7 linked regions of the Ovis aries genome follow. The protein of the gene in region 1 purifies or fractionates together with the protein of each later gene. This does not show direct contact. Links are inferred from orthologs where the notes say so. Each region holds a gene or a part of one and is shown on either strand. Other genes may lie near its edges. The genes, in order: HNRNPU, KPNA2, SF3A1, HNRNPA2B1, DIMT1, FUS and HNRNPAB.

Region 1 (3,500 bases):
GAAATTTCGCTTCTTACGGGCAGCAATCTCAATAAACTTTCCAAGACACTGTGGAGCTCTCTGCAACAGCGTGTTCAGTTTTCCAGTATCTGCCATTTGCTTCTTAAAACCTGCCACCTTTTTTTAAAATTAAAAATAAATTTTAACATTGCCTTTCCTCAATGCTACAAGTAAGGACATTTTATCCTGTAACACCACCCAATGCCAATCAACTCATCTTTATCTACTGGATAATTGAGTTAAAAAAACTTCTACAGAAAATGGAGTCTAGTCACTGGAAAGAAAGCAGTTTACCTTAGAGGTGAAGCACCTACTTACATAAACATTTAACTGTCCAAACTCATCTCTCTAAAATACTAAACAAAATGGATAAAAACAAAAGTATTACCTAGAATACCTTCTAGTCTTTTAAAAATGCTGAAATCAAGCCCATTTTACTTACCATCATTTTATCCATTATGGTGTTTGTTCCAAGAATGTTGTATTTACCAGGATTTTCTGCTGCATGTTTAGTAACCCAGGTAGTTTTTCCAGCTCCTGGCAAGCCAATCATCATAACCACCTACAATGGAAAGAACTGTTTAAATATTTTTTTTAAATACACAAAAGCCCAGTTTACACATTTGAACTTCCACAGCCTTTTAATGGGAACAAGTATAGCAGTAAATTAAACAGAACTTTAGCCAAGCTTCAAAAAATTTTTTTTCTAGTGACTTACTTCGCAATCTTTCTTCTCTTCAGGCCCCTTTGGTCCTCTAACTCGATCCTCCAAGGGGACATTCTGGATAAAAGTATAGTCTTCAGGTATTGGAAAATATGGCTTTTCCTTCTGACCAAAATTAAATTCAACTGCACAGTTGTGGCACAGAACATGTGGGAAGAGTGGTCGTCCAGCAAGAACTTCCTTACTGATTTTGAAGGCAATGCCAAGATCTTGTCCATTCTTTGCGTAAGAGAGTTCTACTTCATCACTTTCAAAGTTCTGTTAATTGGAGAGAAAAATTAATGGGTTTTAATATGCTTCTTGTAACACTTCTTAAAAAAAAAACCAACCTAGGAGTAAAGCGTATCCTGTGGATATTTAGGTTATATGTTTAAATAGCTTGGTGTGAACAATTAAAACACCTATGTCCACAAACAGAAATTAATACTATCCAAAAAGACTAGATTTGGGGATCAACTTCATATTAAGTTTTCAGTCAAAATCAATCAGTAATTGAAAGTTGATATTGATATAACTTTAAAATAATCTTGTCTAATAACTTGCCATTTACATACAAATTTAGCTGTGACTTACAGCAAAACATGTAATCACATCATTTTCATCAAACTTCTCTCCATAATCTTCAGTCTCACAGTTGCATGTTTTTATTCCTTTTAGAGAATATCCATAAGAAAATTCTTCTTCGCCTAAGAAAATAATTAACTTTCATTAAATCAACTCTCCAGAATAAACCGACCCATTATTTTTTCAAGATGTAGGGTTTAAGAGTATACTATACTGACTTTATACTAGATATAAAAAGCTAGGTGGTTATTTAACTAGTTGACAAACTGCATGACATGACAACATTCTATTTGAACCATCAGCCACAAACCAATTAACTATAAAGAAAGAAAAGCCAAAATTTAGCCTATGCTCATGTTACTATCATCTCTAAAAAACAGGCAAAAAGTTTAGAATGCCTGCTAACTACTGAAATCAAACACTAAACACTCATGAGTACCAAGATACTCAAATGGAAACTTTACCGAGCAACATTCCACTTGTGGTTAGTGACCACCCAATCCGAACTTCATGTATGTCAATATCTTTCGTATATAAATGCCTCACTGGGATCTTCTCTGTAACCTGAAAGTCAAAGATAAACAAACTGTGAACCAAGGAAAATAAACCACTTAATCAACCCTAGTTTATTTCATTTGGGCAATGGGCTAATTCTTCTTCAGCTACTAAGTACAGAGACACACCAACTTTACGCTCCCCCAAACATTTTTAAGAAATTCAAAAATTAAGGGCTTATAACTTGAAGCTGAAAATTTACTTGGTTGAGTCACATTTAAAAGAAAATGTTGAAATTATATATTCTCAATGCTTCAAAACCAACTAAACTTTATTCTTTAACATGTTTTCCTCAGAACAAAAACTGGAGCCTAACCAAATTTTTTCAAACCTTTGGTGGGCCTTTCAACTGCCTGATAAAAAAATGAACACCCTAAATAAAAATTATGCTGGCTCTATCTACATGGCAACTTCTAATATAACAAACATCTTCAACTACTATAAAACACAGGGTTAGTCCCTCTTGTAACCCACAGAAACTTGAAAAAAATAGAAGTTCCACTGATATCTGATAACAGGCAAAAACCTCACGAAGCTTAAGAAAAAAAGAACATCACAAAACTACTTTTACCTTCATCTCAAAACAGACTTTGCCTTTTGACACACCATAAGATGCCCTTCCTCCAGCCCAAAGAAAAGCAAAACTCTCCATGGTAAGGGAAGAAGCACTGAGGCGATCTCTTGATATTTTAAAATGTAGATCACAATTATCTGCAATTATATCAAATGCCATATTATTTCTTTTGATATCCACTATAAACATCTGCCATGTAGACAAAGCTGTTATTAAATTTTCACATATTTCTGAATGCTGCATACTACATTTTTACAGATGCTGTTCTAATTTTCAGTTTAAACCCCACTCCCACCAAGTCATTCTTGCCAAATCATGAACTGAAGCGTACACTACCTATGCAGCTAACAAATATAAAGGTTTAGCATATGCGTACTTTAAGTATATAAAATAATCAAGACAATGTGACATTTATACATACCTGCTCTGCTCTTTACCTTGATTTAGAGGCAAGCAGTAGAGGATAGCAGGAAATCAAAGTGAAGCATGCCAGACCAGGTAGAATTTACCAGTGCCACAATAAAACTGAAGGGAGGCCATGACCAAGTATTTTAAAGTAAAGAGTATGAGCTGTTGATCCTCACTTTACAGGGGTTCTAGATCTTAAACTCTTTGCTAAAACTTGTTAAGAAGGCAATCTCAGTCTATACAATACAAACCTGGTCATCAATGCTGTTACTACTACAGCATTTTAGGTCCCCTTTCCCCAGATATGCCTGTTAATAAGTATGGGGGATTACACACTTTGGAGTAATCCAAATCCAAAACGACTTTAACCTAGCTACCTTTGGGTCACTGGCTCATTAGCATGCACCTTCTGAGTTCTCAGTGGAAGCAACACTAAATTAAGAAAGCTAGTTTCCTAAGTTTTACTGGAGAGATGAAATTAAACCTACAGTCTGGAATTCCTTACATAAGCTTTGCTCTTTACATTTCTGATACAATGTTCAACAAATTATACTTGAACCCAATAATGCACTTAAACTGGTATCCCTTGATGAGCTAAAAAGCCTTTTATAACAGCATTATCTTCCTAAACCACTGCTTCATAGCTCGCCAACTATAAGCAACTAAACATAAAAC
Region 2 (4,190 bases), on another chromosome or scaffold:
TGGGTTGGGAAGATCCCCGGAGAAGAGCATGACTACCCACTAGAGTATTCTGGCTTCCATGGACTGTATCGTCCATGCGGTCGCAAAGAGTTGGACACAACTGAGCAACTTTCCCTGACTTCTGATAAAATCACGAAGTCTCCATGAGTAGAACTCTAGGATGGGTCTAATTTCCAAAAAACCTTTTAAAAAGGATTTAGAATCATAAAATTTCTAAGATGTTTTAAGCAGTATTTTAAGAAAACTTTTAGGTAAACAGTAAGTGGCACAGAAAGAAAATCAAGAGACAGCTGAGGAAAAAGACCTGAAAAAAGCTGGTGACAACTACAAAAAAAAGAGAGGGAGGGAGGAAGGGAAAGGGAGAGAAAGAAAAAAAAAGGCAGGAAAAAAAAAAAGTTGGTTCTGGACATACTTTCACTGAACACTTGAATGGCCAACTCAAAGTAAAAGCTGGCAACTGGAAAAGCAGGGAAACTTGAAGGGGAGATCAGAGCTAAAGACAACCTTGGAATCAGCTTCCACAGATTACAGAGGATGGGCGGGGGGAAGATAATCCATCAGAATTACTGAACAGGAGCACACAAAGACAGATCTTCACATTTGATAGTTAAAACCCACAAAGCTAAGACATGTTATTTAAATATCTCAGAAAGGCCTCATATTGATTTTCTGGGTTTACCATAACTCATAAACTAAAATATCCTCACCTGGTTGTTGCGGTTTTCCTGCAGTGGAGAAGTAGCATCATCAGGAAAAGAGCTGACATTTCTCCTTTTCAGCATCTGGTCATCCTTCTTAGCTTTCCTTAGCTCCACATTCACTTCTATTCGGCGCCGCCTCATTTCCTTGAGAAAAGATAACGTATCATCTCACCTATTACATCAGTGTTAGGTGCCAAGTGAAGACAACTTTTTAAATTCACTCAAAGTGTGGACGCTCTTTCCAAATACCTTACCATTTAAAAAATACTAGAAAAACAACAGAAGGTACTCACTGTACTGTCTTTCCCCTTGTTCTTGAATCTGTGAAGGCGGGGAGCTGGTGAATTAGCATTCTCATTGGTGGACATGATTATGAGACAAAGGGAGAAAGCTGCAAGATAGGGGAGAGAAAAAAATTTCCTTTTTATCACTTTGTTTGGCAATAACATAGCATTAAGGGAATTATCAAATACACGTTCAATCCGTATTTCCATACTAGAGGAGGAACTTCCTTTTTCAGCACTATGGAACATGAGTTTTGGCCAAATTATATTTGGCCCCTCCCCTCTGAAGGGCTGAGGCTTCCAGGAGCAGTGCTGTCCATCAGAAATATAATGCAAGCTGTATAAATTTAAGCTTCCTAGTAGCCACGATTGTTAAAAGCAAAAAGGAACAAATGAAATTAACTTCAATAATATATTTTATTTACTCCAATATCTATTTTCTCACTTCAACACATTACATCAAAAAAATTACTGAACTATTTTGCATTCTTTTTTCATACTAATTCTTCGAGATCTTGCAGGTACTTTAAGCTTACAGCATTAACTCAGTTTAGACTAGCCACACGCCTTTGGTGACTATCACACTGCACAGCATGGCTCTAGACTCTATATAGGATCCATGAATAGTTAACTGAAGACAACGTACGGGATATAAGGTTACAGTTAAAATCTATGTCGTACGGGCCACAAATTCAGATCTGGAGGCTCTGCTGCTGCTGCTAGGTCGCTTCAGTCGTGTCCGATTCTGTGCGACCCCATAGACGGCAGCCCACCAGGCTCCCCCGTCCCTGCGATTCTCCAGGCAAGAACACTGGAGTGGGTTGCCATTTCCTTCTCCAATGCATGAAAGTGAAAGTGAAGTCGCCCAGTCATGTCCGACTCTCAGCGACCCCATGGACTGCAGCCCACCAGGCTACTCCGTCCATGGTATTTTCCAGGCAGGAGTACTGAAGTGGGGTGCCATTGCCTTCTCCGAGGCTCTACTGGCTTTAAACGGCCCAAACAGATACATTCTGCACGTTTGAAAATATTTAAAAATCTGATTCGTCGTTAACATTATGTAAACTTTCATAAAATTTCCTGCCCACCCTGAACACCTGCGACGCAGTTCAGCATCTCGCACGTTTTCATTTCCAGAAATTCTGAGTGAATGCACTAAATTAGGCTCTATCAGCTGCGTTCCACTCAAACTCACCTACTTAAGAGCAATCTCCCAAAAAAATCACAAAAGTCCTCCTTCAAAGTGGCTATCTTTAATTCCATTCTGTTCTTTTACGAAATCGTGACACAGCCAACCCAGGGCCTACAAATTAAGAGATAGCACTTCCAACTGCCACCTCCATCTGCAGTCCCCTCCCCTACCCCCTTCCCCACCCCCATTTCGGGGAAGCAGCAGCGGGAACCCGCGGAGGAGGAGCCAGAGGCGTCGGGCCCCCTACCGAGGCTTTCGTTCTCGGGCCTGACTCTAATAATTCTTACTCAAAGGCGATTGCAGCGGTTCGCAAGGCCTCGGGCACTAAAGCCCATGCACTCGCATCCACAGTGAAACACCCGTTTCGTCAACGAACTACGCCCCCAAGGCCTCATCGACCAGAGAGGCCGAAGCCTGGCCGGGCGTCTACCCCGGGACTCCCCTCCCGCCTCCAGCAATCCAAGAGCGGCCTAAGGACCAGCCTTTGTCGCTCCACCTGCACTGCGACCTCAGTTCGTTACCTACACAGCAAGCTCAAGCGTCCACCGGAGGCTGTGCGCGGCGCACAAGCTGCGGGATCTACTGCCTCCAAACGTCTACCACGGTCAGCCCGAGGACGGTGTGGCTCGTGCAGCCGGCCGGCGCGATTTAAATTTCCCGGTGGCTCCGCATTCCGATTGGCTGGTTCGAGCTTACGCTATACGCCCATTGGTGGATTTGAAAAACACGTTAGCTGGGGAGGGGTCAGAGGGCCCAGAAGTAGATAGGATAGCATCGCGAGATAAGGGAGCGGCCGCGCGATCCCTGAGAGCCTTGCAGTGCGGAGAAGAAAAACTCCAGATCCCGGCATGCAGCGCGCAGGGCCGGTTCCCTGTCCATCTTGGTCGGAGGGTCAGCTCTTTGCATGGGTTTACCGCGGTGTGGTGGCTGGTCGTTTTCCTGAGTGTTTGCCTTAACTAAGTACCACAAATGATTCCCAAAATAATTCTCTTTAAAAATCTTAATAAAGAAATATATTGCTATGCATTTTTCCCGATGGGACTCAGAAAGAACTTTGCCGGGGTCTCTGGACATCAAGCAGGGGAGGGATAAGGCAGATATGTGCTGCATTTGTTAGTTACTGTTTTTAACTTGTGTCATAAAAGACTGCATAGAAGGCAGAACTATGTTAACAAAAGCTTTATTAATGCCTGCTTCTCCAGTCTTATTTTTAATAATTTGAAATACAAAAGAACTGCAAATCTTTATCCATATTTGTTAAATGTTAATTTACTATTTTGATGTGTATGTATATATATATGTATACACACATGCACGTGTACCTCTATTTATATATACATGGCTTTTACATATTACTTTTTGAACCATTTGAGAGTAAGTTTGAGAAATCTTGTCCGTTTACCCCTAAATATTTCAGCTTGTATGTTGTAAGAATAAGGACATTCTGTTATATTACCACACCATAATCATCAAATTCAAGACAATTGAACTTATATGCGATTATTTATTCTGTGTTCAGATCATCAATTGTTATAGTAATGATCTATGCTATATTTTATATATTTCAAATAAAATGTTTGCATTTTCTTGTAATTTAAAAAAAGCTTCAGTGATAGTCATCAGAACCTCAGGATTATGGTCCACTTTCTTTTCGCAGCTTTTCTGTATCCTGAGAAGGGTATTTTTAAGAAAAGCTGTATTGGCTTTTTCTTTTTTTACTATGATTCAAACAATGAACTTTGTCCCTCCTGCAGGCATTTTTGCCAGCCTCACTCATTGTGTAACAGTAATGAGAGTCATGGAGGTTCCTTCTACTTCCACATAACCAATCAGGATAATCTTACCCCCCCTAAATGCACAAGGTTGTGGGATTTCACCTCTAAACCAGTCACTACATGGTATTCTCCAGGCTACTGTGAATGGTTCAGGGGCAGTCATGTGACCTAAATTCATTCAGTTGAGAAGCCGGATACCTTTTGTTTAATGATGAGAGGTAGGAAAGCAGGCTCTGTT
Region 3 (3,500 bases), on another chromosome or scaffold:
TAGACCAGTCTCCACAAAGACAAGAGATTTCTGTCTTCAGTTCACTGCTGCATACCCAGAGCTTGGAACAGGGCCTGGCACGCAGAGCTTTTTTGCTGAGACAGCAAATGGTGGCCTCATGTAAAAGAGCTACTCTTTCCAACCAGCCCAACCGTACCCACGCTCACTGGCAAAGCGGCTCAGCCCCGCTCCACCCTCCTTGTCTCCCTTCCCCAGAACCACATCTGTTCCTGGAATTCCCGAGTCCAGAGCCACATCAGCACCCTCAGGTTAGAGTGCTAAAGGTCCATACCCACGCTCTGCGGCAGAAGGACCAGGAGTCACCCCTGGAAGCACCCTGCTAGGGCTGGGTGTTAACCCAGCTAGCACCCAGCTAGCCCTGGAAGTTAACCCAGGGCTCGCTTAAAATTGACACTGTAATCCTAATAACCCTCGGGTCTGGTGACCTGAATGACTGTTCAAGGCCCCACCCAGGAGCGGGCCCCCTGCAGGCGGCGTGGACGGCGCGCTGGCAGCAGTGTGCGCTCCCCCCGGCCCCCAGGCACCTTGGTGTACTGCTCCACCAGCTTCGTGAAGTAGTTGAAGAGGCTGTGCTGCGGGCGCAGGAAGTCAAACTGGTAGTTGCGCTGCTCTTTCTGCATCAGCTGGGTCAGAAACTGGCGCCCATTCCTGGCCACAAACTGAGCCGTCAGCTTCACCACGTCCAGGTCGAAGGCTGAGATGGAAGGGGGGTCTGCGATGAACTCAAACTCGGGAGGGGGCTCTTTGGGCACAATGGTCTCTTGTATCACTTGGGCTTGAACCTAAGATGCAAAGGGAATGTGAGGCGAGAGGCAAGGGGTGGACTGGCTCCAGAGACGGGGCACGCACGCACCACCGGAGGATGGCATGGCCCCCTACTCCTCTGTCAATCACATGCATGCCCCAGCACGTGGCGGGAAGAGAAGCCCAACTCAAAGAGCGTCGATGTCTCGGCCAAGTGTGGCCTCGACTCCCTGATGGCTTTCTGAGTGAGAACCGTGTCTCTCTGCGTGTCCATTGCTGCCCTGAAACTGAGGACCGAAACTGGGTGGCAGAAGATCCAACAGGGATGGTTTATTAAATCCCACGCAAAGGGGCAGAGGATGTAGGAAGCCCTACACGTGTGCAGAGGACCTCCCCTTCTGGCCTCCACACGAACCATGAAGTGGCCACAAGTACTGTGAATTCTTTCTATACAGGAGGAAACTGAGGTTGCCTGAGGCACCAGGAGTAATCAACTGCAAAGTACGGTCTCAGAACCTTCTCCAACCTTTCCTTCCCACCGTCACACAAGGGGCAGCCTTTGCCACCACGGCTCGGGAGGCAGCAAAGAGAAAGGCCCAGTCCAGGTCTACACAGGAGGCAAAATGTGTCCTCACTGACGGCCCGAGCCACCCGCAGTGCTCCGAGGGCATGCCACACACAGGGGCCCGGGAGGCAAGACAGGGGCGAGGGACACGCAAGAAGGGGCCCACAAGCCACGCCGTGGCACTGCCCGGACGCCACGGCCAAGGCAAGGAGCAGGGGCTGGGAGCCTGGGCTGCAGGGTCGTGACTCCGCGGCCCTGGGTAAATTGGGCTTCCCTGGGCCTCAGAGTCCTCGTCTGAAAAAGGGTCATTTTACTGGCTTCCTCCCGCAGCCCCTGAGAGGCACCAGTCAGACAAGGCCGCCAAAGCTCTGCACACAGAGCTGGACAGGCCCTCAGCCAACGCCAACTGTCAGCAACCCTCTGCTGAGAGAGCCTCAGCACGCACCTCTGTAAGATGCAGACAGAGGCCTCACGTTTCTACCCACGTGGCTGTGGGGTGTGGACAGCAGGTCATCGTCTCCCTCCCTCACCCCTGGGGCAGCGAGGCACAGGGCCGGTTCCCACCTTCTGGGGCAGCTGCTGCTGGGAGGCCTGCTGCTGCTGCTGCATGACCTTGGGGATGGCGGCCGAGGGCTCCTGAGCCTTGCCCTCCTTGAACTCGCTGACCTTGTGCCGGTAGTAGGCATGGTAAGGGTCGTTGGGGTTCAGGAAGTTGAACTTGGGGTTGTTGATCTCATTCTGTCGTATCCTCGCTTCAAATTCAGGTCCATTTCTAGTAAAAGAGAAAAAAGAGAAGCATCGATCCTGCAGCCCTCTCAAGTGCTTGGACCAGAATACGGCTCACTCAAGTTCCGTTCTTGCCACCACCTACCACTCAAACGGGCCCCTCCCTTGGCTGGCACAGCAGACCACCTCCCCGAGACTCCTGGCATCAGCGGCCAGCGCCCCCGCCTCCTGCAGCCCATGCAGGCCCCAGCGACCCCAGGGCCTCAGACCTCCGTCATTCCTGCAGCACCTCCGCCAGTCTCACCCTCTCCAAAATCATCTCGTTATCGCTCTTCTAATAAAATGTATTCACTTCAAAGAAAAGTACTTTAAAAGGAAGGCATGGGAATCCCCTGACGTCTAGGGGTTAGGACCCCATGCACTCTCACTGCACTGCAGAGGGCTCCGGGGGGGTGGGCAGTGGGGGTGCTGCGGGGGGAGGGGGCAACAGGGGGAGGAAGGCGTATGTCACTACTTCAAATAAAAGTCGTTATGGCTTTGCTGACAAAAGGCAGCCACACCAGGCAATACAATGAGAGCAATGCAGCATGGTTCAAGTTCAGTTCAAAGTTTGCTGAGACTGAAAGCAGTTCTTAGTCAAAAAGCAGGATGACTGAGTGCTTGGGAGGCATCAAGGGTGTGTTAACGCTAAACTGAGATACTGTCCTCTAACTAGCAAGAATGGGGAAAAAAAAGACAATGTGAACAGGATTTAACACCTTGGATAAGTATTGGCTGTAATCATCTCCTTTACTACTGGGTGGGACTCATACAGGAAACACTGCTCTCCAGGCCCGGGGGCCGAGCTGCAGCATAAAGCACGCTCACCGGACAGCGACGTGACGTCAGGGAGGCCCCTGTCTCTCTGTATCTGGAGGAGTTTCCCACACGCACCCTATGTCCCCAGTGTGTATGCCTTTAAACCCTCAGAATGAAAAACGTCCTTCTCATGATGTATAGGGAACCCTGATTTTTTAATAAAGAGTCCCAACAGTAACATTTCAAGGTGTCACACATCCACAATACCCGTATCAGTCAGAAAGTGCACTCACCTTAAAGACACAAGATATGGACGTGTTCAAGTTTTGGGTTCACTGCTGACTTACCAAGTTACTGAACGTCTTTTTGACCCAACTTCCCATGGTAAAATACGGCTAAATACCACCCTCTCTCTCTACTCTGAAGTATTGAGAGAACTGATTAGTGAATGAGAAGCCAAAGTCTATTGAACCGCACAGGCCTGAACACCCCAGGGCCTGTTGCTGCTCTGAAGGCTGGAAGGGGCTGCCCTATGAACAGGAGAGGTGACTTGGGAGCCGGGAGACGTCTGCGGGGCCTCCCTCACTCCTCTGGCCAGAGCCCTGCTCTCAAGAGCGCCCCGGACACATCAAGGGGTGGCTCCAGA
Region 4 (4,226 bases), on another chromosome or scaffold:
CTACACGTTTCAAAATCATTATGCTTGATATAAACTTACTTGACATTAAATGAGTTTAAACAAATATAGCATCACTTAGTTTTAAAAAAAATCTTTCTGAAGAAAGAAGAGCAAATCTAGTCCCTGGTGACTGTAAAGTTAAGAGTCTTATCAACATCTGCATTCGATCCTATAACTTAGAACAGAGTTCACTTTTACATATTCAAATACAAATTTTTAAAATATAACAACTTTCGCTTTATAACCCAGTTCCCATTTGTTTCTGGATTTAGCATTTAAGAAATGAGTTTCCCTTCATTGCTCCCTCTGGTGGTGATTATAATGTAACTCAATTTTCAAAACTCTGAAAAACTTAGTATTGACTTTCTTTCCTCATATACCAACTCTCCAGAGAAAATCTTAAACGTTCAATATATGTGGCAAAATAGCCTCAAAATTTATCTTTTCTGACGAAAGTATAAAATGACTTTTATGATTGACGGTCTCTAAAGCACATATTTTAACATAGCTGGTTTTGTTGATGGCCCAATCCACTATTACTGAACCAAAAGACAAATACAGTAAAAGACACTGTAACTTCAATTTTCAAAAACCATAAAAATATTTAAATGACCACTGTGACTATCCTCTCTAGTTACAAAATATCACTACGACTTACACTTCACCATGTAGAACTCAGTGGTCTTTTGGCAAATTACACAGCATAAAACAACTTTCATGTGAGAAGAGAGCCTGAGCTGAAATCTCAATCCTTACAAACCAGCACGCATATAAGCTACATTAATAGCTCTGTATTTGGGGCTATCAGTTAAGGAAGCTTGGATCATTTTATTTGGTTTTCAGTTGACTAGGTTAAATAACATTCAGAAACGAAAGTTAGCCACCAAGTGCACGTAGGTAAATTAAGTAGAACTACAACACTCAACCCATAGTTCCATCAAGTTTCTCTCCATGCATGATATTCTCCCAACATGTTAGAAAACAGTAATAATGCAGAGATTTCTTTGCCTGTACAGTTACTTTTAAGATTCTGAAATTTTTGAAAAGACAAATTCTCAAACTAGCTTATCAAACACTTAAAAGAACAATCTATTAAAACGGTAACTTGACATACTGGTATTTGTACACTTCACTTAAGCATATTTTATTTATTCCAAACACTTGTCAGTTAACTGGCCTTTTAAAACCCCAATAAAGAGACTAAAATACATCTACAACATTACAAATCACTAACAAAAGGCAAAAACTCATTACTTACCTCATTTTCCAAACTTACCCGCTGTCCACTATCGATTACAAACAAAGTTATTTTATAAGCGTGCTTAGGGTCAATGAAAATACCCAGGCAGACCCCCTTCGCTTGAGACCTTATGCTTATCAATGTAATCATCAACCATGATTGCAAACATAAACGAGAAAAGCAAGTGACAAAGTTCAAAAACACAGTGGCTCAGCCTAATAAAAGTTTTGTATACAGCAGAACACGCATTGAGGGACCGAGCCATGTTTTAATCAGAGTACAACTAAACTCATAATTTCAAGTTTATCACTAAAAAAACACCCGTAACCTTACCCAGTAAAGACTAAATTCCCCGGTAAAAATACTACTTAAAATACAAATAAATTATACGATTAAAAAAGAATCCGTCAGGAAAATAAAGGATTCTGAACCGAACACCGCCCCCCCCAAAGACCACCTTCCCCACGGCCTCCCGCAAAATCGATAATCTTCTCTAAAATTTTCATTTTATGTTTTCTACGATTCAACTGCCTTTTCAATCACCGGAAACGCAGGTAAAACTGTTACTCAAACAAGGACTGAAAAACAAAATATGAGGTCTTTATACCGTGGCACGCGTGAAACCGGGCCCAACACCCTAGAGGGTTTTACCTCCTAAGCCGAGCGAAACCGCCCAGGAGAACGCCGCCCCTCCCCCCGCCCTTCGGTGCGGCTCCTGAACGCAATGGCGCCATTTCATCGAGGGGAAAGGAGCGAGCCTCTAATGAGGTGCGCAGGACTTTAAAGCTCCAAGCTCCCTACACACTCGGAATCCACCTCGAAACAGCACGAAAACAGTCCGAAAAAAGAAATGAATAGTTACCCACTTCTAGTCCTCACTGAAAAAGTCAAGCTAGTCAAATCTAGAGAATTAAAAAGAAATCGCTGCGAGGAAGGAGAGAAATGAAAATGGCGGCCGCCAAATCCGGTTCCCGGGAGGGGGGAGGGGAAGCTCCGCAGCCCGGTTCGCTAGGACCCAAAACCCGCCGAAACGCTCCAACGCGGGGACGCCAGGACCCCCAAACCACCCTTCTTTAAAAACGGAGTAGGAATTCCTGCCTCCGCGCCCCACTTTCAGTAAAGTGGGGCTGCGTCCGCCATGTGGAAGCTCCCCATCCCCCACCCCCAGCAAAGGGAAATGGCGCCGTGAGGCTGAGGGTGGGGAAGGTGCTGTACAATTAGGCCTCTGCTAACGACCCCTCTCCAAAAATATCCTGAGACCAACCGCTTATGAAGTGGCCCAATTTCGCTGCCGCTCTCCCACGGAGGCGGATGGCCGACTTCCAGTAAGGCGCCAACGGCCTCGCCATGCCCTTTCCAACAACTCATTGATTTCAAACCCGTTACCTCCATCGCGGACTCAGTCGCTTCAGCCCGATTTCCCGCAGCCGAGCGAGATGAGAGAGATCTCCGCGGACGAACACGAACCGGACTCGTCCTGGCGCTGTAGTGAGAACTGCCGCTGCTCGAGAAACAACACCGCTGGAGCACCTCCACTCCAGACCCGGCGCTGCTGCTACTGCCGCTAGAGCCGCTGCCGCCGCTTTTCTAGAACCTTCCCCCCGACTAACGCGTCTTCCCTACGTCAGGCCGTTGCGTAAACGTCCTAACCGCCGCCAATGGCGGGAACGCTCTACGACCTCCTAGCGCCAAGTACGTGCCCCTCCCCCTTTAAGGCCAGCACTGATGCTGGACGTCAGTTGCGTAAAAGGGCTCTGTAAATTGCGGAAGGCTCGAGTCCTGCGTATTTCTGTCTCTCGGAATTGGGGACTGCCCCCGCAGGGCAGGTGAGAAACGGTCGCGCAGTTTGAAATTAACGCTGTTGGGAGGAGCTTAATCCTCAACCCAAAAGTCCAGCCCCCTCATCCCGGGAAGTGGTCCTTACAGCTACGCTTCGATGGCTTTTCCTCGGTCCCCAGTTTTAAAAAAATCTTTGTAGTCTCTTCCACTGTGTTTTCCCTCCCCCACCTTCTCCTATCCTCCCCTCTCTGCGCGGAGAACCGACTGACCCCTTCCGGAAACACCCGAAGCGACTTCTAGTCAACAAATTACACTTAACGATCCACCACCCTAACCCTGGCCAATGTTTTTGGGGTCCACATTTCAGGTAGTCGAAAGTGGTGCTCGTTCTTAGTTCCCGATTCCTCCCACCCACCCCCAACGTTTGGAGGCACCCAACCCCAGGGGCGAGGAAGTGGGCGGAGTCCTGTTTTGGCGCCAGTCGCTAAGGCGGCAGCAAAGCAGGAAACACCTCCGCTGAGTAGGCTTAGGTCGCGGCCCTCAGCTCCCTCCTCGCCCTCCCTTCGGGCGACCACCAGACGCCACGCCGCGAACTCTAAGAGCCGCTGTCACCGCCCCCTGCTTTCCCCCCTCCGTCGGGCCCGGGCTCCGGCTCGGGCTCCCGGCGGGCACTGCGCGGCGCGCGGCCCCACCCCCCGGGGCGCGCGCCCACCCCGCCCCTGGCGGCTGCCTGGCGTGGGCGGTGCCACCTTCCCCTCCCCCCAGCGGCGGCCCCGCGCGCAGCGCTGCTCCCCAGCCCCCCTCCCTCTCGGATGTGACTGGAGCTTGAGGCGCGCAGGGCCGGAGACGTCGCAGACCCGGGACCCGGAGCAGCTCAGAGGCGGTGAAGTCGGTGTCTTTTTTTTTTTCTCTAGCTTTCACTCGGTGGTGTTGCTTAAGATACCGCATAAGCCCCAGAGACCCGCATTTCCCCGCTTCCTATCTTCCTCGCCGGACCCTGAGTCAGGACCTGGCGGGAAGGAAAGGAGAAGCGAACAGAGACCCCGTGGCGGGCCTGGCTTCGGGCCGGCGTCTGTAGTTGGTTTAGGGGATGAGACTCTTCTCAAGGTTGAAAGCTGTGGCGCCAGCCGCCTTATTTCTAGACAAAGCGCATTTTTTCCTCCCCTCCCCCATCCCGGACGAGGTTGAGGGGGCCTTCCTTCCCGTC
Region 5 (4,262 bases), on another chromosome or scaffold:
AGGTTGCTCGATGGTAACTGTTTCCTGCTGTTGATAGTCCCTAGGTTTTTCACTAAATGTTTACTGGTTCCCTTAACATTCTCACATCTTGTCAATGGTCTCTTCACTGAACTCTCCTCAGATAAGTTCTCTGTTGCCTGCATCTACCAGAAGACACAGCAATGATCTGACTTAACTGGAACTGGATCCACCAAGAGACAAAGAAGGTACCAGCAGCAGGCAGGTGACACTCCAGTCTCAGAGGCCTGTGCTGGATCTCCTCCAAAGTTCCAAGTCCAATAACTCCAATCCCCTTGCTTTGTTCCCCTGAGCCGAGAGGTGGTAGCTGCTTTTTGTAATTCTACTCTTGGGTTAACCTCAGTGTTTTATTCTCTTGGTCCTCTAACAACCATGTAACCAATTCCCTGTACTGAAGTATCCAATGTCATACGTTTTCCTGATTGATATACTTATGTTTTTTTCTTTTAATCCATTAAAAAAAATTGAGACATAATTGACATAAAACATTAGTTTCAGGTATACAACACAGTGATTTGATATATATATAACATTCATGACCACAATTACAATTTTTTTCTTGTGATGAGACTTTTTACTCTCTTTGCCAACCTTCAAATGTACTACAGTGTTGTTAACTATAGTCATGATGATGCCCATTACATCCCCAGGACATATTTATTTTATCCTGGAAATTGGTACCTTTTGACTCCCCCCAATTTGCTCATATTTTATAAAGTTTCTAGCAAAGGAGCAAGAGTTATTGTTAAAATAACAGCAATTCATTAAAACAGATTTATACTTGTAAACCACCTAAACTTACTCACATGATACCTGATACCAAACACTAAATCCTCTCTTTACCTTTTTTGCCTTTTCCAGCAACTTTACAGTCATATTGCCAGTTCCAGGTCCAACCTCCAGCACCACATCAGTTGGTCGTAAGGCAGCCTACAAGCAAGCACAACTACTTTAGCTTTACAGGCACGTCTGAACACATAATTTAATTTACAGCAAAATAGCTTTACTCAAAAGTGCACAGTTAGGAGATCTTATTCTGACTTCATTTTTAGGAGATGGCTTCATGATCTATGTTTAAAAAAATTATCTCATTAACATTAGGCACAAGTGGAAATTGAACAGTTCTCCTAACTTGGGGCAATAGTTAGGAGTCAGAGAAGTAGGAACAGCAGTTCTGAGTGGCATTCTCCTTCCTATCTTTGAAATGATTCCAACAGCACCTTGTTACCAACACTATTATCACTAGGTTCAAAAAGGAAGGACCAAAATGATGAACCATAGCATGTTGTACTGGTATTTCTCAATTCCACATCCATGTATGGTTTCAGGGGTGCAGAAGGATCCAGAAATTGTACACAAAAATTAATGTCAGTCCAGTGGTTAGGACTCCATGCTTCCTCTGCAGGGGGCCGGGGTTAGATACCTAGTGTGGGAACTAAGATCCCACAACCCTCAACATGTGGCAGAAAAAAAATGTATACGTATGCACATAGCTGGAGTATTCTGAGTCTGTAACTTTCATCACATGCACAAAGGAATTCATGAGCCAAAAAGGTTAAAAAGCTAGGCCAACTCTCATTTTGCATACAACATTAAGTTGACATCTCTCACCCAGGTAATGTCCTTTCTACAGCGCCAGGATACTTCCTTTGCAACCATGAAAGTAATCTTCACCACCTATTGTTTCACATCCTAGCTCCCAATCATACAAAACAATAAGAAAACATCAATAACCCATGCAGGAAGAATACTCTGAAGAGTTTACATGTGGCATTGGCTTATAACATGCAGGTTTCTCTGGGGAACAAACTTCCAAAGGTGTCTGGATATAATTTTAGGGTTTGCAGTAAACAAAAACTAACAGTGATAGATGCTGCCTAGAAAAAGTGATTGGTAATAGAAGAAAAATCTGGAATTGAACAGGTAGAAGTGTCAAGCTAAAAAGTAAATAATCTACAGAAAGATAAAAGAATTTGGAGTCAGAACCCGAGACTCACAGAATAAAGCAAATCATATTGAAGAGAACTTGCGAATCCTACACAATTCTTCAATTCATTCCACAAGTATTTATACAGCATCTATTTTCTGTCAGGAATCCTATCTGTGCTTAGATATTCCTAAAATTAAAATCAATAACCCAGTAACTCTCTCCCTCTCCTCTTTCGCACCCACCTTATCGATAATGCTGTTAACAATGAGAGGATTTTTCAAAATATGCTGCCCAATCCCCGTGTTGAACATGAGTCCTGCAATAAAACATGAAATAGCCTTAATTTCCCAACTAAAAACATTAGACCGTCCCAGAGAAGAAAACAGGATAGCTAGGGGACGGTATCTGCTCCAGCTAGGGGTGCCAAACGTCACGCTAAGGAGCTGGATGACAGACTGTTTTAAGGCCACCCCTTCCGTGAAGGAAAGTCAGAGGCGGCGCGCGGGGCCTGCGCTCGTCGCTCGGGCAAACCCGGGACTCGCGCGCTCCCGGCGCCCGGTCTCACTGTCCCCGCCAGAACTCCGCCCGTGCCCCGGCTCGGTCCCACCGGAAGTCCCAACCCAAGGGACCCCAGCTCTCTCGCGGCTGTCCCCACCTCCGGCGCTCTTCAGCTGCCCGCGTTGTTGTTGCCGCTCGCGGCGGCGGCCGCTAGCCGCTGATTTGATCTTCGGCATCTCTGCAGGCAGAGAGCTCACAGGCCGAGGAAGTCAAGAAGGATCCGAACCCGCAACCTCTAGTCTCCGCACCACGTGGGAATCACCAGCCCGCACCACCAGCACCCTATCGGGCCACGCGGGGGTGGGGCGAAAACACGCCCCTCGGTTTGCTCCGGGGTCCGCCCCCAGAAAGAGGGCGGGCCTTTGGAGCCCGATGGCCGCCTGGAATAAGCTCGGCCTCCCGGGAAGCCTAACCTCGGAAGCCTACAGATCCCAGAAGACACCGCGCTGCCGATTCTGGCAGTTTGGATTGGCTAGTTTAGAATCGGGGGCGGGGCCTTGCCCCAACACGCACCAAGCTAGTTAAATAGGTTTGGGTGTGGGACCTCAAGGAAGTGGAGGAAGCTTAGGTTACGTAATGCAGTTAGGCTTGTGGATGCTTTATCAGGCTAGGTTGTTGAATCGCTCAAATCCAAAGAAAATTTATGTCATGTATTTCTCTCGTGTATCCCAACCGATTGTGGGTGAGGATCCCAGGAGCTTGGGAAGAGGAGCTTGCTCCTTTAGCGGGAGTGAATTCTCCGCTGCTTGTATTACGGAAAGTAACTCTGAAAATGTAATTATGTGCTTAGTTTGACTGGACCTACTGGTGGTTTCGCTTCTTTCTGTGGCACGTCATTAATTTCCTAAACCTTTCCATATTGAGCTCTTGCTATGTATTAAACACTGCTGGGTGACGGAGATTCGAAGGTAAATAGGAAACTGACCTCAAAGTTTATTCTATTGAGAGAGTTAGACAAAAAGTCTGAATCTGTAAATGTGGTCATTGTTATGTATTGGCTATTGTGATAGGACGCTGTATCTGACTGAAAGTTACATGAACACAATGTCCGTGTCTGTTTTAGCTGTCAGCAAAATGTTTCTGTGTGTACCTATTTACCTGAAGAAGCAATCTGTTTTTACCAAAGCTGACTTCTCTTCCCTGCAGAATTTATTGTGTGCATTCCCTAGCCTTGCTCTTTCTTTGCTGTAATTCTAATTTAGGAAAAAATGTGTATACCCTGTTAGCAATTTCAACTGTCTCTTAATTCCATTGATCATTGATTTATTCCACAATTCTGGAACATCCACAGTGTGCCGGGCACTGTGTCAAATGTTAGGAATTTAGAAAATTAACATGAATGACAATTCCTGCTTTTAAAGAACTTTCAAGAGAGGAAGACATTCAAATAATTACAGTAATAGCACCATTTGCCGATATATCTTTTCACCATTTCAAAGTTCTCTAAAATAGGGGCTTATCATTGTGTTCATAATACAGATGAGGATGTGTTCATAATACAAAAATGTTAAATATCTTGCTCAACATCACACAGTAAATGACAACTGCATCTTGAAACTCGTTCTGTATTCTGAAGACAGTGTGCTCTAAAAGAGGAATGATCTTAGCACTATAGCTAATACTTGCGGTGACTGGGGAGCATTTTCAAAATAGAATATTTGAGCTGAATCATTAAAGGCCAACCAAAAGTTAGCCAGGGAAAGTTTGAAAATTCAAAGGGAAAGCACTAAAAAAAGACTGGATATAAGAGTATTTG
Region 6 (3,949 bases), on another chromosome or scaffold:
GGTGCTGCTAGGAGCTGGCTGCTGGCCATAGCCAGGGTACGAAGACTGTTGCCCGTAAGACGACTGAGAACTCTGGCTACTGCCATAGCCACCAGTTGAGCCATATCCCTGGGGAGCTGACTGCGTGCCGTAGCCTGCTACAAGGAAAGGAAAAGGGAAGTCACAGAAGCTATGAGGAAAGAGAACAGGCAGGGAATGCACTGAGAACAGCCCTGTATACCACTTAGTGCTTCCTGTACTTGGTAAGTCAACTTCTTAGAAAATGCTTGGCAATCTTGCAACTCATAGCTAAAGAGATTACCTTTTCTACCTGAAAGCTGTGTTTCAACTTCTACTCAAGTTTTAAGTTCTAACCTCATACCACACACCCCCAAAGCCAGCCTCCAGGACCACCACTAGTCATAGCCCAAGAGATCTCTTGTCACTAACAGCACTTTAACCTGCCCGCCCCTGGCAGAACAAATAAAGACAAGGCGTTTTATTTACACTCCAGGGACCTCAGGGCAAATTCCACTTCCTGGTGTATCCACGTGATGCCACCTGACTTCAAATGTCTTCAAGCAAGTCATTTTCCCTCTTTAAAAGCCTAAAGCATTTCTCCCTCTAGAGAATATTCCTCCCACCTTCATTTCACTTTCATGCTTAGGGGAAATTGGGAAAATAGCAGCATAAACAGAAAAGTAAAAAGTAACAGAAAATAAAAGGAAGCAGGATTACAAACCAATTAAGTCTTTTTGTTTCAAAGGACTCAAAACATCCAAGAGCTTTAAGGGTCAAAAACCGGTTAAGGGGAATGTTTCAGCACTGCTTAGGTTTAAGAAAAGCAACATTCACAAAAAAAAAAAAAAAAAGAAAAGCAACATTCACAAAGAGCAGAAGAGGTGGGGTGACCCACTAAGACTCACTATTCTGGGTCTGTCCGTAAGAACCACCGTAGCTGCTCTGGCCATAGCCCGAAGTGTCTGCAGACTGGCCGTAGCCACCGTAACTCTGCTGCCCGTAGGGTTGACTGCTCTGCTGTGAGTAGCCTTGCCCAGGCTGAGTTGGGTAGGCCCCATAGCTGGAGAAAAAACAGTGCTCTCAGGAAAAGACATCTTAACCACCCTCACCCTCTACAAACTCTGGAAGTCCAGAAGGGACACTCACCTTTGGGTTGCTTGTTGGGTATAGTCTGCAAAAGAAAAACAGGATTATATTACCTTCAGCCATTTCTCAGAATAGACGAGCTAAAAGACTTAAGCTTCAGGGTCCCCAGATAAGAAAATCAACAAAGGAGGCATATATTCCCTCATGAAATTCTATGGAGAGGGGCAGTCTGTGAGACCCCAGACAAGTTTTCTTACAATGAAAAAGGCAACGAGAAAGCGCATTTCCACAAAACCAAGAAAGACGCCTTAAGTACTTGAAAAAGCAAGAGTGCTAACGGACAGCAGCAACCTGTCCGCAACTTCAATCGATGTCAGAACTGCAAAGATTTACGCATTTCTTTCCCACGCTCCCTTGAGAAAGAAGACATCGCCAAGAGTTAGGCTGAAACCACACAGCTGTTTCAGCAGGACAGGTTTTTAATTCAAGCCAGAGGCAGAACTGTTCCGAAGGGAGCCTCCGCTTTCTCAATCCAAAGAACAAGAATGTCTCACAAAACGCCACGCTTCACCCTTTGCCCAATCTTGGAGCCTGGAAATGGGAGCTTCTGGTGCAAAGCCAGCTAACCAAGGGAAGAGAGCACTCTGATCAGCACGTTGGCTGGTACTCAAGCCCCCAGCCCTGTGGCTCCCAAACGAGTGCGTTTTCCTGTCCCTCTTGGCTAACTCGGGGCTGCGGGAAGACTAGGCGAATCCAAAGCAGCGAAAGTGCTTTTTAAAACGCCACATGGAAGACGCACGGGCCTGATCCGCTCATCTCCTCGATACAGGAAACGAGGCGCTTCCCCCGCAGGAAAGAGCCAAAGCACCGAGAGAGGGTGTGGCCCCAGGCGACAGTTCTTTTCAGTTCCCACCTCTGCAAGAGGAAATTCAGGCGGGAAAGGCCTCGGGCCCAGTCCTCAAGACCGTTGGACCACTCCCCAGCCCCCCACCCCCAGCCGTTAAGCGGGCGCGCGGCCCAGACCCCGAGCCTCCGCCTCTGGCCGCGTGGCAAGCGAGGCGGGAACGAGGCGGTCCCGCCCCTTCCCGAAGGACCCCGGGGGCGCGGCCCACACCGGACGCGCGCCGCGGAGCCTCCAGCCGAGGGTCTCGCGACAAAAAGCAGGGCAGACAGGAGACCGGGGTGGGGGGGGCGGTTCGCGCCGCCAGAAAGGGGAGGAGGGGCTAGCAAAGCGCGTGCGCGCTCCTCCGAGTGCCCGGATGCAGCACTGCGACAAAGCGGGCCCGAGCGCGGGGCTGGGGACGAGGGGGAGAAGAGGATACGGAGGCCGAGCATTTCCATCCATGCCTCCCATTCCCAATCACTAAGCCGCGTCTCTCCCAACCCTCACCTCAAGGAAGGGGGCAACGAAGGGACGACCTCCCGCCCCACGCGAGGCGCCAGATGAGCAAAACAAAATGGCGACATCGGCCTCCCCCTTCCACCCCTCTCCGCTGCTTCTAGCCAGTGGTGCGAGGAAAAGATCCTGCACTCGATAGCCGCCCGGGTCCCACCGAAAAACAAAAGCCGGACTGGGAAGGAATGAGGTCCGGGGCCGGCGCGCCACGATCGCCTCGCGCCCTTACTTACCGTTTGAGGCCATGTCCGCGCACGCGCGCACAGGCCGACAAGCAACAAGGTTCCAACACTACAGAGCACCGACGCCTCGAGGACTGAGCAACCCCGCCTCCTGCGTCGAGGTTTATGTACGCCTCCCCGCCTACGTCTCCCGGGGGAACGTACCAACTACGGAAAGGAAAGGGGGAAACATGGCCGGACTCCTGGCACTCTTCAGGGAGTATAGAGGATCCTAGCAGGCAGAAAGGAAATATATTAACTAAGAAACGTTCAGATCATATAGATAACCCTTTTTTTTCTGACAAAGAACTATTTGCTTTGCAAGACTAGCCCACGTTTCACCTCCGCCCCTAGGATGGCATAATGGTACGATCCGATTAACCCCTGGGGGCGGGGCAAGGGGCCCAGGGCTGCTGCGGGCGGAACTGTAGTCAAAGCCGGGAGTCGTAGGGCGGGAACCGAAATTCCTCAGGCTGGCCCCTTTCACTGGGCCTCACTTTCACTCGGGGTGTGGAGTTCCTGCGTTCCGTTCCCCTTCCACTTTTTCAGACGCGAACTCCCTCCGGCACATCCTCCCTCTCTGGCTCTAATGTTCCTCCCAAGACAACAGACACAGACCCTCTCTCAGCGTCTCGGTTTTCACTCATCGTCTTTTTGGCTTACCTCTCTTGAGTCCTTATCAGGGTTTGTAGATTGTGCCTTTTGACATGAAAGAAATAAAGCAGGGAGTTTAGCCCAGACCCTTCGGTCCTAGTTTGATCAAGCACTGATCGCCCACCCAGCGTCCTCAAGCCTTGGCCCCTGACTAGCTGTTGGACGGGAAAGCCCAAACCCTCCGGATCTCAAAGAGCGTTGAGATTAGATAGGTATCTCCCACCCTTTCACAGATGTTTTCCTGAAACTCTATCAAGAAACCAATGTGGAGATCCAGTAGTAAGTGATATTTGTATAGAGCTGAAGTCGTTTCAAAATGCACAATTAAATGCTTTCCCAACACAGTCTTATGAAGAAAGTAAGCTATCCCCATTTTATAGAAAAGAGAAATAAGACACCGACCAAGAACAATCCGTGATTATAGAACAGGTATCCTGATTCGAATCCAGGTCTGTGCAGCTACAAAAACACTCCTTTTGTTGGTTATGTGAACACTTTGCGGTATTCTGAAGTCTTTTCACTCTCTACAAGAACGAGGACAAAATGTGAAATTCAAATTAACTTGCAACTTGCACTCTAGTCAAAGTTCCTA
Region 7 (4,154 bases), on another chromosome or scaffold:
TGAAGAGACTGCTCACACACTACCCGTCCCAGAGGGGCCGCCCATGCTCCAGTATTCTCCTGCCTCCCTCAGGTCCTGTCCTGCCAGCCTGGGAGCGCTGAAGGACAGGACCACTGGTCCCTATCAGGACAGCAGGCACTGCACAAAAACAGTCCGGTCCACCCTGGAGAACTCTTGGAGGTGGTTCAAGCCCTAGTCCACACCTGCAAAGGCCAGTTCCAGCAGAAGGCTAAGTGCACACACAGCTGGGGACACCTTACCTTACTTCCACTGATAGTGTGGAACTTTTTCTCCAGCACTTTCTTCACAGGTTCTTCTTCTTTAAAGGTAATGAAAACAAAGCCTCGTCTTTTGTTCGACTTTGGATCCATTGGAAGCTCAATGGCTTCAATCTGCAAACATAGGCAAAGCTCAAGACTCTTACCTCAGAGCCTATAGGGAACTCATAGGAAAAGGCCCACAAACACCACAGTGAAAAAAAGTTCCAGTCAGCCAAGGTGTCAAGGACCAGTAAGAAGGCAACATCACTGCAGCTGGCAGACCACTGTGGGGACCACACACTCACCTCCCCAAACTCGCCGAAGTACTCCCTTATCTTCTCCTCAGTGGCTTCAGGATTCAGACCCCCTACAAAAATTTTCTTTACTGGGTCTTTCTTCATGGCCATGGCTTTTTTGGGGTCAATGACGCGGCCATCCAGCCTGTGCTCCTTCTGGTCTAGAACCTGTTCCAACGGAAGGGAGTTGGGGTCTAACTCAGCAGCATGACCCAAAACAAGGACCTTCTTTCTCTCAGCCATAAGACTCCCAACACAGGCACACGAAACTGCTTCATCCCCTCCAAACTCTACCCCAACCTGACTTCCCAACCCAATCTCCAGACTTAACCTGGTTTATGAAATCTATCAAACCACCCCCAAGACTTTTGACCATGCCCCGCACCCCTTTTCTTGCCTAGCCAATTCCATAAACTTAAAGCACAGGCTAAAATTAGGCTGCTAGGGCTGGAATCCTCACAATCCACCCTTTACTGGCTATGTGATCTCTTCTATTTAATCTTCTGTTTTTTGCAAAACGAGGTTAAAGTAATGCCTATCTCCTAGCAACTGTGGGCTCTCTTCTAATCTTCTCAATGAAATGTTTGCTTTAGCAAGGTCCAGAATAGGCACAAGATAATAAATGGTCCACTATAAACCTTCCTTGATCACCCCTGCCCATACTCACTCCTCCACTTAATCTCTACTTTTAATCCCCTGGAAAAGAACAGGATAAATTCTCAACCTCTCTGCTCTTCCCAGAGCATTCAGCTGTGCAAAACACATAAGCCAATCATAGTCTAAGAATGGTTATCTTGGAATACACTGAGACTCCTGATTGTGAACTACCCCAGCTTACCTTCTCCACACTGGCTGCATCTTTGAAGAGGATAAATCCAAACCCTCTTGACCGGCCAGTGTTGGGATCCATTTTTATTGTACAGTCAACGACCTCTCCAAATTTGGTAAAATAATCTTTTAGATCCTTTTTGCTGGTATCCCAGCTCAGGCCACCAACGAACATTTTTCTGAAATAGTGAGGTGAGACATACAGCAACAAGCCTTATAACCAACCCGTGATTTTGGAAGGATAGACCCTGACAAAGCTCTCACTGAAAGGATTAGAAAGCCACCATTCGGAACAGGGCTCTACCTCTGGAATATGTTAACGAGTCTCCCCTACCCTTCCAAACTCAACCTAGACCCTAATAAAGCCTCAGGTGACTCCATACCCTAGGCTGGTTGAGGAAAGAAAGCACAACCTGGCCGGAGAGCTAGGACCTGAGGTCTCACAACCGGAAGGAATCTAATTTGTCTAACAACTATGTATCAAAACACTACAGTCCCTGCCACCTCCGATCACTTCAAGGAACTCGAGGCTTCCGGGGCCGAGTCAGAGTTCAGACCAGGACTCCGCCCCCGGCAGGAGCCGGAGGAGGGAGGCCCGGGTGCGCGCCAACTCCGCCCACGCAGCCTAGGCAGCGCGACCCGCCAGGCCCCGGCTCCGAGCTCACTCCCCTTCCGGGCCGCCTGCCGCAGGTCCCCGCGCCAGCGGCCCCGGGGCGGCGCTAAAGTCGACCCAACAAACTCTTGCAAACTCCAGCGCGCGCCGTAAGCGGGCGGCGCGGAGTTGCCGGTCTGCGGGCCGCGAGCAGGCCCCGGCCGCCCGCCCCTCCCCCCGCCGCGTGGCGCCAACAAAAGGCGGCCCCGGAACAAAGGCGGCGCCCCCGTCGGCCCGCAGCAGCACTTACCCCGCGTCCTCCTCATTCTTGCTGGCGTTGATCTGGTCACCCTCGGCGCCGTTCTGGTTGCCGGCCTGGGGCGCCGCGCTCCCGCCTCCAGCGCCCGCCGCAACGCCGGTACCAGTGCCGGCCGGCGACTCGCCTTCGGGGGCAGCCTCATGTCCGTTCTCGGTGGCTCCCGTCGTCTCCATGGGCTGCTCTTCGCCCGCTTCCGACATGCTAGGCCGAGGCGCGCGGCTCCTGCAACGAGCAGCCACAGCGCGTCAGGCCGGCGCCACTCCCGCCCAGGCTCCCGCCCGCGGGCCCGGCTGCTCACCTCGCCGCCGATGACGCCGCGGGGCCCGCTCGTCCCCACCCGCCGAGGAGGCACCCGCGGGCTCAGCCGCGCTCACGCTCGCGCTGCCGGGCCTCTCCCCCGTCTACCGACGGAGCCGCTGGGACCTCGCGCTAGCCTAGTCCGCCTCCGCAGCCACAAGAACCCACCGACTCCAAAGCTCGCCCCGGCCGCGCGGTGCCGCCGCCTGACAATGCCGACTCGTGGCGCTCTTTATAATGCCGGAGCCAAGGCCACCTCGCAACAAGGTGCATGCTCATTGGCTTCGCCGGTCTGTCACTCATCCCCGTGCCGGCTTCCCATTGGCCGCAGCGGCGCGCGCACGGTAGATCCGGGCGGGCTTTGTCCTCATTTTAGAATCCGCGCGAGCCGGGGCCTTGCGGAGGGTGCCTGGGTCTGGTGGCTTGACGGTCCCGTCCCGAGTGGCCGGTGGTCTGAGCCCCACACCGGAGAGGCGCAAGCCTGACCCTTCGCCTCTGAGGCCGTAGACTCTGGTCCCCGTGCGCCCTAAACCAGCACTGGCAGCCTTGGCCATTCCATTTCCCAAAAGAGGAAACTGGACTCCAGGAAGTCTCGGAAACCAAGGTCGCCCGACTGGAAGTGCAGAACCCGGCCTTCGGAGATTGGGCGCGTAGTGTCCTCCAAACCCCAAGAAACTGGGACGGAACCAGCCGTCCCCCTTGACCTTGGTGCCGTCCAAGCCACACGATCCAGCCCCTTGTGCAGCTTCCCCCCGAAGCGAGAAGCGAGGAGGGGGCGGAGTTCGCCGGGTGGCCAATGGTGCTCCACGCGGGAGAAACTGTGGGACTGCGGTGTTGCCCATTCTTAGGTCGCTTGGCACCACCTTGACGATTAGCATCACATTTTTACTTTTGACTACTTAATATCTTCGATTCGTTTATTTTTGCTGAAATCTGTTTTTAAGAATACACCACTTCCTTGAAATCATGCAGTTTTGGGGAAGGGAAGAATAGTTCTCTTTTTCTAATATACAAACTACTTATTTATCTTCTTGACCAAGCTTGAAAGGCCTGTATAGTCATGATTCCTTTTAACCATATGGGTGAGAAATACCAAATGAAGAAGGATTAAAACTTCTGAAGCTCGGGGGTTGCCAAATAACAGCAGAACACAAGTAGCTGACATCTCCCGCTGGGATCCTGTGGCCGGGCCCAGTGTGGTGGGCTGGGCATTCTGTTTTCTCATCTGGTCTCTTAACAACCCTATGGAAGTTGACAACCAGTTTATAAAGGAGAAAACAAGCCCAGAGCTCTGGTCTGAGGCTCACTTCCTAAGCCAACCTGCTCAGTCGTGTCCAGCAACCCGATGGTCCCAAAGAGCCTGACTATAGTTGCTACTGTCTCCTCTGTCCATGGAATTCTCCAGGGAAGAATACTGGAGCCCCTTCTCCAGGGGCTCTTCCCAATCCTGGGATCGAACACAGGTCTCCTGCATTGCTGGCAGATTCTTTACTATCGCAGGCACCAGGGAAGCCCAGTGAAGTTGCCATGAGAATGTAAAATGTCACAATTTCACGTTTGGA

The links.
Region 2: the proteins of HNRNPU (region 1) and KPNA2 purify together in Homo sapiens (affinity purification with mass spectrometry; 3 studies listed by BioGRID and IntAct, with this or other methods). This does not show direct contact. The link is inferred for Ovis aries from reciprocal best matches to the Homo sapiens genes HNRNPU and KPNA2.
Region 3: the proteins of HNRNPU (region 1) and SF3A1 purify together in Homo sapiens (affinity purification with mass spectrometry; 3 studies listed by BioGRID and IntAct, with this or other methods). This does not show direct contact. The link is inferred for Ovis aries from reciprocal best matches to the Homo sapiens genes HNRNPU and SF3A1.
Region 4: the proteins of HNRNPU (region 1) and HNRNPA2B1 purify together in Homo sapiens (affinity purification with mass spectrometry; 4 studies listed by BioGRID and IntAct, with this or other methods). This does not show direct contact. The link is inferred for Ovis aries from reciprocal best matches to the Homo sapiens genes HNRNPU and HNRNPA2B1.
Region 5: the proteins of HNRNPU (region 1) and DIMT1 purify together in Homo sapiens (affinity purification with mass spectrometry; 3 studies listed by BioGRID and IntAct, with this or other methods). This does not show direct contact. The link is inferred for Ovis aries from reciprocal best matches to the Homo sapiens genes HNRNPU and DIMT1.
Region 6: the proteins of HNRNPU (region 1) and FUS purify together in Homo sapiens (affinity purification with mass spectrometry; 7 studies listed by BioGRID and IntAct, with this or other methods). This does not show direct contact. The link is inferred for Ovis aries from reciprocal best matches to the Homo sapiens genes HNRNPU and FUS.
Region 7: the proteins of HNRNPU (region 1) and HNRNPAB purify together in Homo sapiens (affinity purification with mass spectrometry; 4 studies listed by BioGRID and IntAct, with this or other methods). This does not show direct contact. The link is inferred for Ovis aries from reciprocal best matches to the Homo sapiens genes HNRNPU and HNRNPAB.

The regions. Positions count from the first base shown.
Region 1 is NC_056065.1:31,691,209-31,694,708, reverse strand, and holds part of HNRNPU (heterogeneous nuclear ribonucleoprotein U), read right to left. Parts: intron 2,555-3,500; coding exon 2,415-2,554; intron 1,853-2,414; coding exon 1,753-1,852; intron 1,411-1,752; coding exon 1,298-1,410; intron 983-1,297; coding exon 719-982; intron 563-718; coding exon 443-562; intron 118-442; coding exon 1-117. UniProt on the Homo sapiens protein: DNA- and RNA-binding protein involved in several cellular processes such as nuclear chromatin organization, telomere-length regulation, transcription, mRNA alternative splicing and stability, Xist-mediated transcriptional silencing and mitotic cell progression.
Region 2 is NC_056064.1:48,653,715-48,657,904, forward strand, and holds the start of KPNA2 (importin subunit alpha-1), read right to left. Parts: upstream 2,801-4,190; 5' UTR 2,699-2,800; intron 1,093-2,698; 5' UTR 1,070-1,092; coding exon 995-1,069; intron 846-994; coding exon 708-845; intron 1-707.
Region 3 is NC_056070.1:69,356,454-69,359,953, forward strand, and holds part of SF3A1 (splicing factor 3A subunit 1), read right to left. Parts: intron 2,103-3,500; coding exon 1,895-2,102; intron 804-1,894; coding exon 546-803; intron 1-545. UniProt on the Homo sapiens protein: Component of the 17S U2 SnRNP complex of the spliceosome, a large ribonucleoprotein complex that removes introns from transcribed pre-mRNAs.
Region 4 is NC_056057.1:71,303,366-71,307,591, reverse strand, and holds the start of HNRNPA2B1 (heterogeneous nuclear ribonucleoproteins A2/B1), read right to left. Parts: upstream 2,801-4,226; 5' UTR 2,633-2,800; coding exon 2,627-2,632; intron 1-2,626. UniProt on the Homo sapiens protein: Heterogeneous nuclear ribonucleoprotein (hnRNP) that associates with nascent pre-mRNAs, packaging them into hnRNP particles.
Region 5 is NC_056069.1:17,147,897-17,152,158, reverse strand, and holds the start of DIMT1 (probable dimethyladenosine transferase), read right to left. Parts: upstream 2,801-4,262; 5' UTR 2,683-2,800; coding exon 2,604-2,682; intron 2,265-2,603; coding exon 2,191-2,264; intron 949-2,190; coding exon 862-948; intron 1-861. UniProt on the Homo sapiens protein: Specifically dimethylates two adjacent adenosines in the loop of a conserved hairpin near the 3'-end of 18S rRNA in the 40S particle.
Region 6 is NC_056077.1:27,781,693-27,785,641, reverse strand, and holds the start of FUS (RNA-binding protein FUS), read right to left. Parts: upstream 2,801-3,949; 5' UTR 2,729-2,800; coding exon 2,716-2,728; intron 1,172-2,715; coding exon 1,147-1,171; intron 1,061-1,146; coding exon 906-1,060; intron 138-905; coding exon 1-137. UniProt on the Homo sapiens protein: DNA/RNA-binding protein that plays a role in various cellular processes such as transcription regulation, RNA splicing, RNA transport, DNA repair and damage response. Binds to ssRNA containing the consensus sequence 5'-AGGUAA-3'.
Region 7 is NC_056058.1:36,983,677-36,987,830, reverse strand, and holds the start of HNRNPAB (heterogeneous nuclear ribonucleoprotein A/B), read right to left. Parts: upstream 2,801-4,154; 5' UTR 2,761-2,800; exon of another isoform or gene 2,594-2,760; intron 2,518-2,593; 5' UTR 2,496-2,517; coding exon 2,287-2,495; intron 1,564-2,286; coding exon 1,395-1,563; intron 725-1,394; coding exon 566-724; intron 393-565; coding exon 261-392; intron 1-260. UniProt on the Homo sapiens protein: Binds single-stranded RNA. Has a high affinity for G-rich and U-rich regions of hnRNA. Also binds to APOB mRNA transcripts around the RNA editing site.